Saccharomyces cerevisiae S288C: one gene and its partners. The gene in region 3 interacts genetically with the main gene of each other region. Each region holds a gene or a part of one and is shown on either strand. Other genes may lie near its edges. The genes, in order: HAB1, PDC6, YOR131C and CAL4.

Region 1 (2,586 bases), on a different chromosome or scaffold from region 3:
AACGGCAGAGCTATCATCGTCGTTTAATTGCGGAAGATAATTCTCAATTGGCTCTTCTTGTTGAAAGGCTTCCTGGAAGAATTGAGGAATGACATAGGCAGAGCCTAAATTGGTAGCGTAAAACGCAGCGACAGCCAATTGCTTCAAAGAAAAGTGCATGGTTGGCGTTTCTGTTTTTTTTTTTTTTTTGGCTTCTTCTACCAATTGTTGAAAGGCTGAACATGGTTTTGTTCCCATCCATTGTTCCTCGCTTTTATATTGAAAAAAGAAAAATTTTCCTAAGGACCCCTTCTTCCTGAGGGTTAATTTAAGGGAATTCAAAGTGTGTCAATAGTAATTAATAGAACTAATCAATATATTCAGTATAACTTTTATTATTAATAGTATATGATATTACTTTTTGAACTATATATTTATGGAAGCACAAAAACATAGAGAACACTCTTTCTGACGATAAGAAAGGTGATTATATCAAGATATATAATGAAGCAGCTCAATTGTCTTATTTCTTGTATCTCAAGTAGCTCCTTCTAGTGCTACACTTTAGTATTCTGCTTTGTTTATCATCGAACCTATCAAATTCCACGGAATCCTCTGGTGAATATGTGTTCTGGTGCCGTGTTGAGTTATCGTTATCCAATTTGTGTTCATTGGCGACAAGGCCCTTTTTCAGCTCATTCAAATCTATGCAATGATTATTAACGCCTTTCTTATCAATGGCAACCTTACCCAAATTGTTTCTGTTTCTAGTCAGGATTGTAGCCATTTCTCTATCTGAAATGTCCGCCTCCATGCTATCGTCAGTGGGGCTTTCTAAGGATTTTATGTTTATGAAACCATTGTTTTCATTGCAATAGATTATTTCAATGGGGGAAGGCTCTTGCTTTTTAAAGGAGAATAGACTATCAAAATATGAGAACCTAGAAAATATGGTCATTGTCAACTATAAGCGAGCTTAGAGATTTCGAATTGTTATGTTATAAATGGAGTGATAAGACTCTTGTTTGAGGCTTGGGCTTTTTGATTTATATTAAATTAAGATATGTAAAAAAAAAAATAAATTAAAAAACGTGTGTTCTATTTACAGTATCTACTTACTTATTTGTTTATATATTCCATTAGTTTACTTATCTTTATCCTTAACCTTTTTTTTTTGTGTGTGTGGGGAAGGGCGGTACATAATATTAGCGTCACAATATGCGCCCCTCGAAGAAACATGAGCGAATTCACGCAATTATGAGTCGCCACTCCCCTGCGAGAGTGCTACTGCGATATTGACGTCTGATGATCGGAACGTTATGCTCTAAACTTGTATTTGGTTTACAATCATACCACTTGTCTACAAACCCAGTGTTTTCCACGAAGTAGTCATGGCTGGCTAAGGAAACGCCGAGCCATTTGTTCTTTAGGGTACTTGAAAATCCACTGGTTATGACACTGTTTCTTAGAAGTTCGCATAAATCTGCTGAATGTAAACGGTATATACTAGCCGCTACACTATACTCTTCTATAATGGGTTCTTTCGTATACGAATTGTTGTAGAGGATAGATTCTGAGCTCAGCGATATCTTGAACCCCATTTCAAAAAACTTCATGAAAGGGTTCTTCTTATAAGGCTTTGAGGGCTCTAGGACAAGCCCCGTCGGGGCTTGTTCTTGCAGCATTGTAGGCTTTGAATCTACTATGGAATTCAAAGGCGCCACAACCATGGGAATTTGACTTAGATAGAAAAGATACACCAGTGATGGTGGTGCATTCCAGAGATTTTCTGCATTTAGAAACCCTCCACAGGCGAGCAAGAAATTGTTTAAAATAGCTTCCGTATGTTCTGTGAAGTTCAGTGTATTACTAAACTGTGAAGTTCGATTCATTGAGGTGGGAGAACATGAACTTCTCAAAGTGAAGGTATTTTGATGAAGGGCTTGGCGGATATGGTTCAATTTTGTTAGGTTGACGTAGACGTAATACATATATTGTGAAATGGTTGGATTATCACCGCCAGATGTCCAATCTTTTGGCAAGCAACTAACTGCTGTGAAGTTTTTCCAAATATAGTTGTCCGTATCTTGAATACATAGATCAATCGAAGATACTTGAGAAAGAAATTTCAAAAGAATAGGTCCTAATGACTTGTGTAGATAATTTTCGGCATTGAAAAGTGGTTTGAAGATTAGATTTAAATACTCCTGAAAATTCTTCACCTTGCCAGTATGATACAGTTCTGGATAAATTCTAGAAATGCGAATATTCCAGCGAATATTGTTAGAAAATATATTATAGTGGTTCAGCCAATTGGCAAAGACCATCCACCAATTGTCCACATCGGAATTATCGTAATGCAGATAAAATTGGAAGTCCACGGAGAGTTGACATAACTGATATTTCGACTCCTCTTGCGGTTTTATTAAAAACGTTTTCAGTAGTTCCGCTAAGTATTCACCATTAATATAGTTATCAAACTCCAAAAATGTTTTCGCAATCAAATAGTATCGAAGCTGCTTACCGTGTGAGCCTGTGTGTATTTCCATTTCATCGTTAACCAAATGATATTTTGCGAGATAAATAACTTTATACCACTCCAAAAAT
Region 2 (3,780 bases), on a different chromosome or scaffold from region 3:
AGCACTTGTTATTTATAAAAAGACACGGGAGGGGGAATCCCGTCTTTCGTCCGTCGGAGCCAAAGAGATGAGCCAAAGCAGAAAAACAGGGGACGCCGCCCTTCTTCCGTCCCGTGCGTGAGGGGGGCGCGGCCATTCGGTTTTTGCAATATGACCTGTGGGCCAAAAATCGAAAAAAAAAAAAATAAGAGGCGGCTGCGGAATTTTATAAGACAAGCGCAGGGCCAAAGAAAAAATAATAATTGACGTGGCTGAACAACAGTCTCTCCCCACCCCTTTCCAAAAAGGGGAATGAAATACGAGTTCTTTTTCCCAATTGGTAAATATTCAACAAGAGACGCGCAGTACGTAACATGCGAATTGCGTAATTCACGGCGATAACGTAGTATTTAGATTTAGTATAATTTGAACCGATGTATTTATTTGTCTGATTGATTTATGTATTCAAACTGTGTAAGTTTATTTATTTGCAACAATAATTCGTTTGAGTACACTACTAATGGCTTATTGTTTGGCATTTGTAGCGGCAGTCAATTGCGCTTGTTTGATCAAACTTTCCGGAGCATCAAAGACGGGCAGTTTCAGTTCAATTAGTCTGATCACCGAGTTTTTCTGGAACTCTGAATCAGTGGTTAAGGCATCCCACTCACCCGTAGTGGCGATCTTGTGATTTTCGTACTTTTTCGCACCAAATGCGGGCAACAGGGCGAGGTGATCCCAGGTCTGGATTTCGTTGTACTCTGCGTGAGGCCCATGAATCAGCTTTTCGATAGTGTAGCCGTCGTTGTTAAGGACAAAAAGATACGGCTTTAACCCCCATCTGATCATGGTGGAGATTTCTTGGACGGTTAACTGCAAAGACCCGTCACCTATGAATAAGATGACTCTCTTGTTGGGGTCAATCTCCTCAGCGGCAAAGGCAGCACCTAAAGTTGCTCCTGTTGTAAAACCGATGGACCCCCACAACACCTGCGAGATACCGTAGGCGTCCTTAGGAAAGATAGTTTGATTGATACCGAAGGCAGACGTGCCGGTCTCGGAAATGATAACATCACCTTCTTGCAAGAATTTGGACAATTCGTTCCACAACCACTCTTGTTTCAAGGGCGTGCTAGCAGGTACACCTTTGTTTGCGGGAGTTTTGGTTGGTACGGGAACGCTCTTGTAGCCCTTAACAACATCGGGAATAACCTTCAGTAAGTTTTGTAGTGCAAATTTCATTTGTACACCGAGGAACGTAGCGTTCTTCACCTTTACGTAATCGGAATGAAACTCCACTACATTTTTAGTCTTGTAGGAGTAGGAAAACGAACCTGTGTTAAAATCAGAGAGCAAAGCACCGACCGAAAGGATCAAATCAGCCGACTCAACGGCCTGTTTCACGTCTTGTTTGGACAGCGTTCCCACATAAACACCGCCATATCTGGGATGCTGTTCATCTATTGACCCTTTACCTAGAGGTGTCACAAAAGCTGGGAATTGCGTCAAATCAATTAACTTCTGGGTTTCTTTTTTAACGTTGTGCCTAGAAGCACAGGCATCCGATAGTATAACAGGGTTTTTCGAATTCTGGATCAATTCTAGTACGGTATCAATAACTTCCTTTTCAGCTTCGGGATCGTTAGGTTTTAATGATAGATCAATCGGTTTTTCCAAAAGAGAACCAGGAACCTTTAGATCTACCAAATTCGCTGGCAACCCCAAGTAGCTAGGCCTTTGTGTTATAAATGTTGTCCTGATCAACCTATCGATTTCTGAAGGGGCTGTAGCAATGTCTGTAATCATTGATGTAGTTTCTGAGATATTGGCGGACATTCTGTGAAAAACGGTAAAATCACCGTTACCCAAGGTATGATGCAACAACAATTGCTTAGCCTGAGCGGAGATAGAGGGGACACCAACAACATGCAGTACACCGACGTGTTCTGCATACGATCCTGCAATACCATTCAAGGCGGATAATTCACCTACGCCAAAAGTAGTTACCAGCACAGATAAACCCTTGATGCGTGCGTAACCATCGGCGGCATAGGCGGCGTTCAGCTCATTTGCATTACCAGCCCATCTCAATCCATCTACCTCGTAAATCTTGTCCAATAGGGACAAGTTGAAGTCGCCTGGTAGCCCAAAAATGGTGTTAACATTAACTTGCTTCAATCTTTCAAATAAGTATTTTCCAAGAGTAATTTCAGACATTTTGTTGGCAATATGTTTTTGCTATATTACGTGGGTTTTTTATTTATACTGTATATAAAAGAGGACTGCAATAGCACAAGATTAAGATAGAATGGCTTCAAACAGCCGCCTTTTATACATATTGGTAAAAGCTCGCGAATCGCACCATATCCCTTATCCTGTAATCAAATCGATCTAGGTGCAGATACAGATCAATTCATAAAAAGAAATTGAAGCACCAGTTTATCACTACTACACTATCTTTTTCTTTTTTTTTTTTTTTTGCGAAGTTTCGCCCTTTGTTCAATATCACTTGATAAGTTGTGGGCTTTTTCTGTCACTCATTCGGCTTAAAAAGTATTCGTTCTTTTGTGTTTTATGAAAAGGGAACGTGATATAAAAAAACATCCTTTGGTGTGGGACATGGGCTTTTGTTTAGAGAATGGTTATCACTACCGCCCCCACCCTTGAAAGCCACAGAAAATGAAAAAGTATGTGAATAAGGTGTGAACTCTATAACATTTTGGCCAAATGCCACAGCCGATCTGCATATTCCAATGGACATAATGCAACAACAATTGATGTCACATTCTCTTACACACTTCGATTGGTCCGTACGTAGTACTTTTTACATAACTGACTCAGGCGTTTCCTTCATTGAAATGCTCATCTATTGCCAAGTACATAGAATCCACAGTGCATAGGTTTATGAGATGCTTGGAAGATGTACGATCGCCTGCACTATATTAGTATATTTTTTCAGGCTTTACAAAACCAGAAAGAAATTACCGACTGTAATACTTAATTTCCATGATTTTAATCGTATGGTCCGTGAGGAAAGAGGAATTTTAGGTAAAAAAAAACCTTTGTCTATCAAAACATAAAAGAAAAGAAAAAAATTAAATTGAATAAGTCAGCTTTTTAGCATGACCACAGTAATAATAGTAATACGATATCAGCATGAGCTGCTAAACATTAAGAATTTTTGAATTGTGTTCGCTGGTAAGAGAAAATAGGGTAGCATTAGTTGCGAGATGGAAAATTAAAATATGCGTCATAAGGTATTTTCGACGTTGAAGATTAGGGGTTGCAAGTCCGAGAACTAAACTGCCTTCACGACGTCAAACTTATTGTATGGTGACAATAAAACGAATTCAAGAAGCCAGAGATGATGAGGAACCGATGACGAGGCACATGGGGATAGAACCTCCGTTATCTCCATTCCGCGTTGAGCAGCTCTCCTGCGTGCTTTCACAGAGACCCTAAGCCAAGACCGCGGACGGCCCTCTTTTTCAAGGGGATCACCGGTAAGGGGCCAAGCGGTGAAATTGCGTATTGTTTCCTCCTATCAATGATGAGTACGTCGCCGATCCAGAAGGGTTATTATTGTCATTGCCAGTACTATTCGTATGCTGAAAAAGTATAGTTCACTTCACCCTCTGGCTGCAGGCTAGCCTAGCCGATAATGCCCCCGACTCCCTCAACAGGTAGAATTTGTAAGGATTCGACGTAGCCTGGACACATTGTGCATTTATCGTATCCCCTACTGCTACACGTATAAGAAGTCGTTGCTTTACCTCTATTCCAGAACTCAATCTTGTCGTT
Region 3 (3,029 bases):
TCTTGTTGATGGGGATTTGACTTTTGCGGTTGCTCTCTCCCGTCCAACTGTCCCCTTTAAGGGTTTGAGAAGTATCGGAGTTGTTGTTTGAGACAGCATGGCGTCCTAGACGTGACAAACCTCCGTTTTCATCAGCTTTTCTGATATCAGAACGTACTCGTTCTAGTAACGTCAGCTTCTTTCTTTCATACTCTATCTTTCTTAGTGTAAATTCTTTGATCGAGCTTCTTATCCATTCTTCATACCAGCTAATCCACTGTTTTCTCTCGATAATCATGTTGGACGTGATTCGTTGAAGCTTAAGGGTCAAAACTTGTTCGTTTTTAGCTGCAGCTTTCAACTGACGTAGTGCTTCATCGATTTTCATAGGGTTAATATCTCTTCTTGACCGGAACCTGCGTGCTTGTTCCTGTTTCGCCTTTGAATTCTGCTGTGCCTGTACTAGATTTCGCATGATAAAATGCCTGTTGGTCAATGCTTCCTTCACGGCATAAGCATCTCTGACAATCCACTCTAAACCATCGTACAATGTCGCCATGTCCATGGTTGCTATAATGCTATCAATATCACCCACAGCAGTCAATATTTTACCGTATCTTCTGTAAAGTTTATTGTGCTCATCTAGATTAACGAAATCCTGGCCGAAGGCATTTTCTTCTTGAACCATCATCTTGCGATTTCTGGAAACTCTTAGCAGTTTTTCTTGCAAGCTCTGAGAAACAACATATATAGACTTGACTAATGGCCGGAATTCTGCTAATTCTGTGATTTCATCATATGGAGGTGCTAATTGTTTCAATGTTTTTCTTTTCAACCCAGATGCGAGTGATTTGGACTTGTTGATGGGTGTGTACGTATTAAAGTCACTTTCAATGAAAAAGGCCACTTCTTCATTCCGAATAATTAAGGGGTCTTGCGATAGCCTGTTAAACCAAAGTTGGAAATTTCGCGTTACTTTCATCCTATCTTCTTCGCTATTAATTCCGAATGTAGTATACGCAGAGGGAAGAGTAGGAACAAAAGATTCCTGAATGGCAACATTCAGATATTTGAACAATTGGTGGAATTCTTCGTATGATTTTTTGACATTCTTGTATTGTTGTTTGCGAAATGTTGGCAAATTTGTGGAGCAATCAAATATAATAGTCGGATTCTCTTTCTTACCGGTTGCAGATCCAAATCGTTCCAATCCTGTTACTTTTGCAAGTAGAGTGTATTTTTTTTTCTCATCACTTCTTTCAGGAAGTATAACACGTTCTGATGGTTGAGATGGTTGTTGGTTTTCATTGTGTTCGTTTGAAGTTTTTGATCGTGTTGCGTTTCCTTCTTCACCAAGACCATTTTGAATGTTATTTGCAGTTCCGTTGTCCTGAACGGAAGCTGCAGTTTGCTCAGTACCTACACGCTCCTCTGACATAGAAGATGATCCATCTGTGGTTGTTGCAGCAGGTTCAGAATCTTCCTCCTGGGGCTCAGCAAATGGATTGTTATCCAGATCATCATATGGATCATAAGGTACAGCCGAAGTCATTGTTCAGAGGATAGATGGATTGACTAAGGGTACAGTACGGCAAAAAAAAATTAGATCAGCTTTTCAAAACAAACTATTTTGGCGTTTACCAAAACCAAAACAGTATATTCAACTAGTTCAATCACTCTTGAAAACGTCCCCTTTCTACAAAATTAGGCTTTGAACGCGTGCTATGGAAAAAAGTGTAAAGAAAACGAAAAAACCAGAAAAGTCATATATATCTTATAACGAAATATCAGGGTGTTCGACTCAATCGCCAGGTGCCGCTAACACAATCATTAGGATAGTCGGGCAATATATACGGTTCAATAGTCACTGAAAGTGTATCACAGAATAATGACAAAGCTACAAGGACTACAGGGATTAAAACACATCAAAGCGGTTGTATTTGATATGGATGGCACATTATGCCTACCCCAGCCTTGGATGTTTCCAGCAATGAGAAACGCCATAGGATTGGAGGACAAATCGATTGATATCCTTCATTTCATTGATACATTGCCCACAGAAAAAGAAAAAAAAGAAGCGCATGATAGAATAGAATTAGTTGAGGCAAAAGCCATGAAGGAGATGCAACCGCAGCCTGGTCTGGTTGACATAATGAGGTATTTGACGAAAAATGGTATTAGCAAGAACATATGTACTAGAAATGTCGGAGCCCCGGTAGAGACTTTTGTTAAAAGATTTATTCCATCCGAGCTTTCGAGGTTTGACTATATTGTGACAAGGGAGTTTAGGCCTACAAAACCGCAACCAGACCCATTATTACACATCGCCTCGAAGCTAAATATAAGGCCCTTGGAAATGATCATGGTAGGAGATTCATTTGACGACATGAAATCCGGTAGATCTGCTGGATGTTTCACGGTATTACTCAAGAATCATGTGAATGGACATTTACTGCTCGAACATAAAGAACTAGTAGACGTTTCAGTAGAGGATCTTTCCGAAATAATTGAATTGATTCAAAATATGAATAAAGAAAGTTTCTAAAAAAAAAAAAACTTTACTTAGATATGTACATATGATTGAAATACCATTTTATTCTTAGATGTTTTTTAGAGCTAATATAGTAGCTATGGCGGAATTACCTTGATTTTTTCGGCATCACAAAGTTCGAGAACACATCAAATCAGCAAAAAAATCTCCGCGACGGGGAATTGAACCCCGATCTGGCACGCGACAAGCGCCCATTCTGACCATTAAACTATCACGGATTTTAATTGTTGGGTTAACGGTGTTTTTATTAATACTTGTTTCATATGATTTGAAAAAATAAAAAAATGTTGCAGCAAGTGATCATTAATGTCAATATAAATAATGATGGTAGCAAGATGAGTGTTTACGTTAATGTACATTTCATATACTGAGAAATAGGTGAATTTTCGGGATAATCGTTAGGATTTCATTATTGTTAAGGGCTATAATTTAGGTATATCGAATATACGAGAAGTTCTGCACGATGATATAGGGATCCATAAAGGGAACCAATATTTCT
Region 4 (3,117 bases), on a different chromosome or scaffold from region 3:
TACCATGGGTAAGCTGGCAAAACACATATTAAAGTAATCACACAACTAATGCCATACGCAGTCAGTAAAACTTTCAGGGACTGTTGTGCAAATCCCAATATACACGCTACCAAAGCTCCGATCATGAGCGATAGCTGTTGAAATTTTTCTGTTTTCCGTTGGCTGGGAAAATCTATTGGAAAAACCAGTTTCCTTTGTACATCTTGTAATATCTCAGACATTGAAGTTGACTATGACGTGACGTTGATCTTGTTTGAGTATTGCTTGACCAATCCTGGAGTAACTTCGTTTAATCTGCCTCGTTTTTTTCTCTAAATAGTTTCTATTATCCCTCCTCCACGCGAGATGTATTTAAAATGTGAAAAGTGTACACATGGCGTTCATCTTACGTAGATGAGAGAAACGCTAAGAAGCCAACCAAACTAGTATAATCTATACATTTATAGATGTTTGTGTAGAACCTTATTTTTATACTCTTGTATTATATTACATTACTTGCATTAAACCGTCATTTCACCAATAATTTGGTCCTTTAGCCAATTAACATATCTGATGAATGGTTCACCCTTGCTAACATCAATAACACTATCGTTCGTAGCTTTTCTATATATATTAATCAGGCCCTTATCCTTAGAGAGCTCGTTAAATAGTTTACAATTCAAAAGATCTAACTGAAACTTCCAAATGGGTAACAATTCATTCTGTAACACATTAACTAAGATCTTCATCTGTAAATCGTTCATCTGTGACTGTTGTTTACTCATAGGGATCTTGTTCAAAAATTTGTAGAGATTAACGAATCCTGATAAACAATTTTGCATTTGTAATATAAATTCATCTTTAAAATCGACATTTAATCTGTTTAATTCCTGGAAAATATACCTGTTCACTCCATAAATGGAGGTGACTAGAACCTTCTCGATCAAATGCCGGCATTTTCCAGGAGTTTCAAAGTGATCTAACTCACAACTATCCAATAATAAGCGGAATCCTGTCCTTAAATCGTAAATTAGTTCACAAATATCACTCTTTAGTGCAAGGAGTTCTTTTTTGTGTGAAATAAATGTGCCAGAATGGTTTAATACTTCGTCTTCCTGCTTTTGAGCCAGATAATACAAGACATACATTAGATCCGTCATATAATGTGAAGTATTCAGAATAAACGGCACTATTTGATTCAGCAGTATAACATTTTTCTTGTTGTTTTCGGATATTCCGTCATTGAGCAAAAGTTTGGTTTGTAAAGACGAAACTGTACTTTCATTAGATTCTCGTGTTTCACTCATACGCCTTTATATGCTATCACAGTTACCTTATTTGTCCTTTTTCTTGTAGAGCTATTCTCTATTCTGCTTTGACTTAACTAGCGTGAAATTAAAACCAACGCCGCTTATCTAATCACAATAAAAGATCAGACTGTGAAATTAATAAAAAGGAAAGGATAAAACGACAGATATCGCACTAACTTTGTTAGAAACATTATGCAGACAAAAGAAGGAGATGCATGTGCCTTTGTATTCTTTTAAACGCAAAAAGGGCAGGTCTATGATTAAGTATGAATGAGCGATATAAAATTTAAGTAGAAAAGGGAAGATAATAGTACTATATATAAATATATAAATGCATTTTTTTACATACCTGTTGGGTGAATAATTTACCTAGCTGTTGGATTTGCTGTTACTGTATTATTGTCGTCATCATTGCCATCGCCTTTATTGTTATCATTGTTATTGTCATCATTATCGTTGTCACTGTCATTAATCTGTAACTTAGACTGTATATCGTAACATTCAGACAGCCTTGTTAATGAGGTCATGCCTTCTAGGCTTTCTTGATCAATGTCCAGAGATATATTGGGTTTGTCTAATGATCCTTGATGAGATTGATGCTGCAGCTGACCTTCCCAAGGCCTAGGTCTTGGCCTCAATGAAGGAGTACTAGCTAAACCCTCATCCAGCGTAACATTGGGCACCTCCACAATATTAGGTATAGGCTTGTTATTCAGAATGTGATCCAGCAACTCTTCATAACTAAGTTCACCACCTGCTGCCATGCTTGACTCGTTATGTTCGCAATCAATTTTCAAGAGGTAAACCGAAACATGTGGAGCTCTTTTACAGGCTCCGATAATAATAAAAGAAACTTTAATAGTTGGTAAGAACTTGACAAAAAAAAACACAATATATATACATAAAAAAGTCAACAACTGACAAGCAAGGTAAAAGGTGATAAAGTTGAAAGATGACTGGCGAAGAATGGGGCTTGACTGTACTGTCATTCTTGGTAAGAGTCGGATTTTTTCTTTTTGGCATTTACCAGGACGCTAATTTCAAAGTGAGGTACACTGATATCGACTATTTTGTGTTTCATGATGCTGCTAAATATGTATACGAAGGCAAATCACCTTATGCAAGGGATACATATCGTTACACACCGCTACTAAGTTGGCTGCTAGTGCCTAATCATTATTTTGGATGGTTTCATTTGGGGAAGGTCATATTTGTTATTTTCGATTTGGTTACTGGGCTCATTATAATGAAGCTTTTGAACCAGGCCATCTCCAGAAAAAGAGCTTTAATATTGGAAAGCATTTGGCTATTGAATCCGATGGTTATCACCATCAGTACAAGGGGAAACGCTGAAAGCGTGCTTTGCTGTTTGATCATGTTCACGCTTTTTTTTCTACAAAAGAGTAGATACACCCTAGCTGGAATCTTATATGGTCTTTCTATCCATTTCAAAATATATCCAATCATATATTGTATCCCAATAGCAATTTTTATATACTACAATAAAAGAAACCAGGGTCCACGAACACAACTTACATCGCTACTCAATATCGGTTTGAGTACTCTAACAACTTTGCTTGGATGTGGTTGGGCAATGTACAAGATATACGGATACGAGTTTCTGGATCAGGCATACTTGTACCACTTATACAGAACGGATCACAGACACAATTTTTCAGTGTGGAACATGCTATTGTATTTAGATTCTGCAAATAAGGAAAATGGTGAGTCCAATCTCTCAAGGTACGCATTTGTGCCTCAATTGCTGCTTGTTTTAGTAACTGGATGTCTTGAATGGTGGAATCCCACATTCGATAACCTATTGAGG

What was found.
Region 1: mutations in YOR131C (region 3) and HAB1 together harm fitness more than expected from each alone (negative genetic interaction), as found in Saccharomyces cerevisiae (one large-scale study listed by BioGRID).
Region 2: mutations in YOR131C (region 3) and PDC6 together harm fitness more than expected from each alone (negative genetic interaction), as found in Saccharomyces cerevisiae (one large-scale study listed by BioGRID).
Region 4: mutations in YOR131C (region 3) and CAL4 together harm fitness more than expected from each alone (negative genetic interaction), as found in Saccharomyces cerevisiae (one large-scale study listed by BioGRID).

The regions. Positions count from the first base shown.
Region 1 is NC_001134.8:772,273-774,858, reverse strand, and holds HAB1 (Hab1p), read right to left. Parts: upstream 938-2,586; coding exon 503-937; downstream 1-502. Other genes in the region: APE3 (aminopeptidase Y), read right to left, coding at 1-159; YBR284W (metallo-dependent hydrolase superfamily protein), read right to left, coding at 1,227-2,586.
Region 2 is NC_001139.9:650,786-654,565, forward strand, and holds PDC6 (indolepyruvate decarboxylase 6), read right to left. Parts: upstream 2,197-3,780; coding exon 505-2,196; downstream 1-504. UniProt on the Saccharomyces cerevisiae protein: Minor of three pyruvate decarboxylases (PDC1, PDC5, PDC6) implicated in the nonoxidative conversion of pyruvate to acetaldehyde and carbon dioxide during alcoholic fermentation.
Region 3 is NC_001147.6:571,677-574,705, reverse strand, and holds YOR131C (putative haloacid dehalogenase-like hydrolase), read left to right. Parts: upstream 1-1,867; coding exon 1,868-2,524; downstream 2,525-3,029. Other genes in the region: retromer subunit VPS17, read right to left, coding at 1-1,531.
Region 4 is NC_001142.9:458,141-461,257, forward strand, and holds CAL4 (Cal4p), read right to left. Parts: upstream 1,287-3,117; coding exon 501-1,286; downstream 1-500. Other genes in the region: signal peptidase complex subunit SPC1, read right to left, coding at 1-221; YJR012C (uncharacterized protein), read right to left, coding at 1,655-2,053; GPI14 (glycosylphosphatidylinositol-alpha 1,4 mannosyltransferase I), read left to right, coding at 2,242-3,117.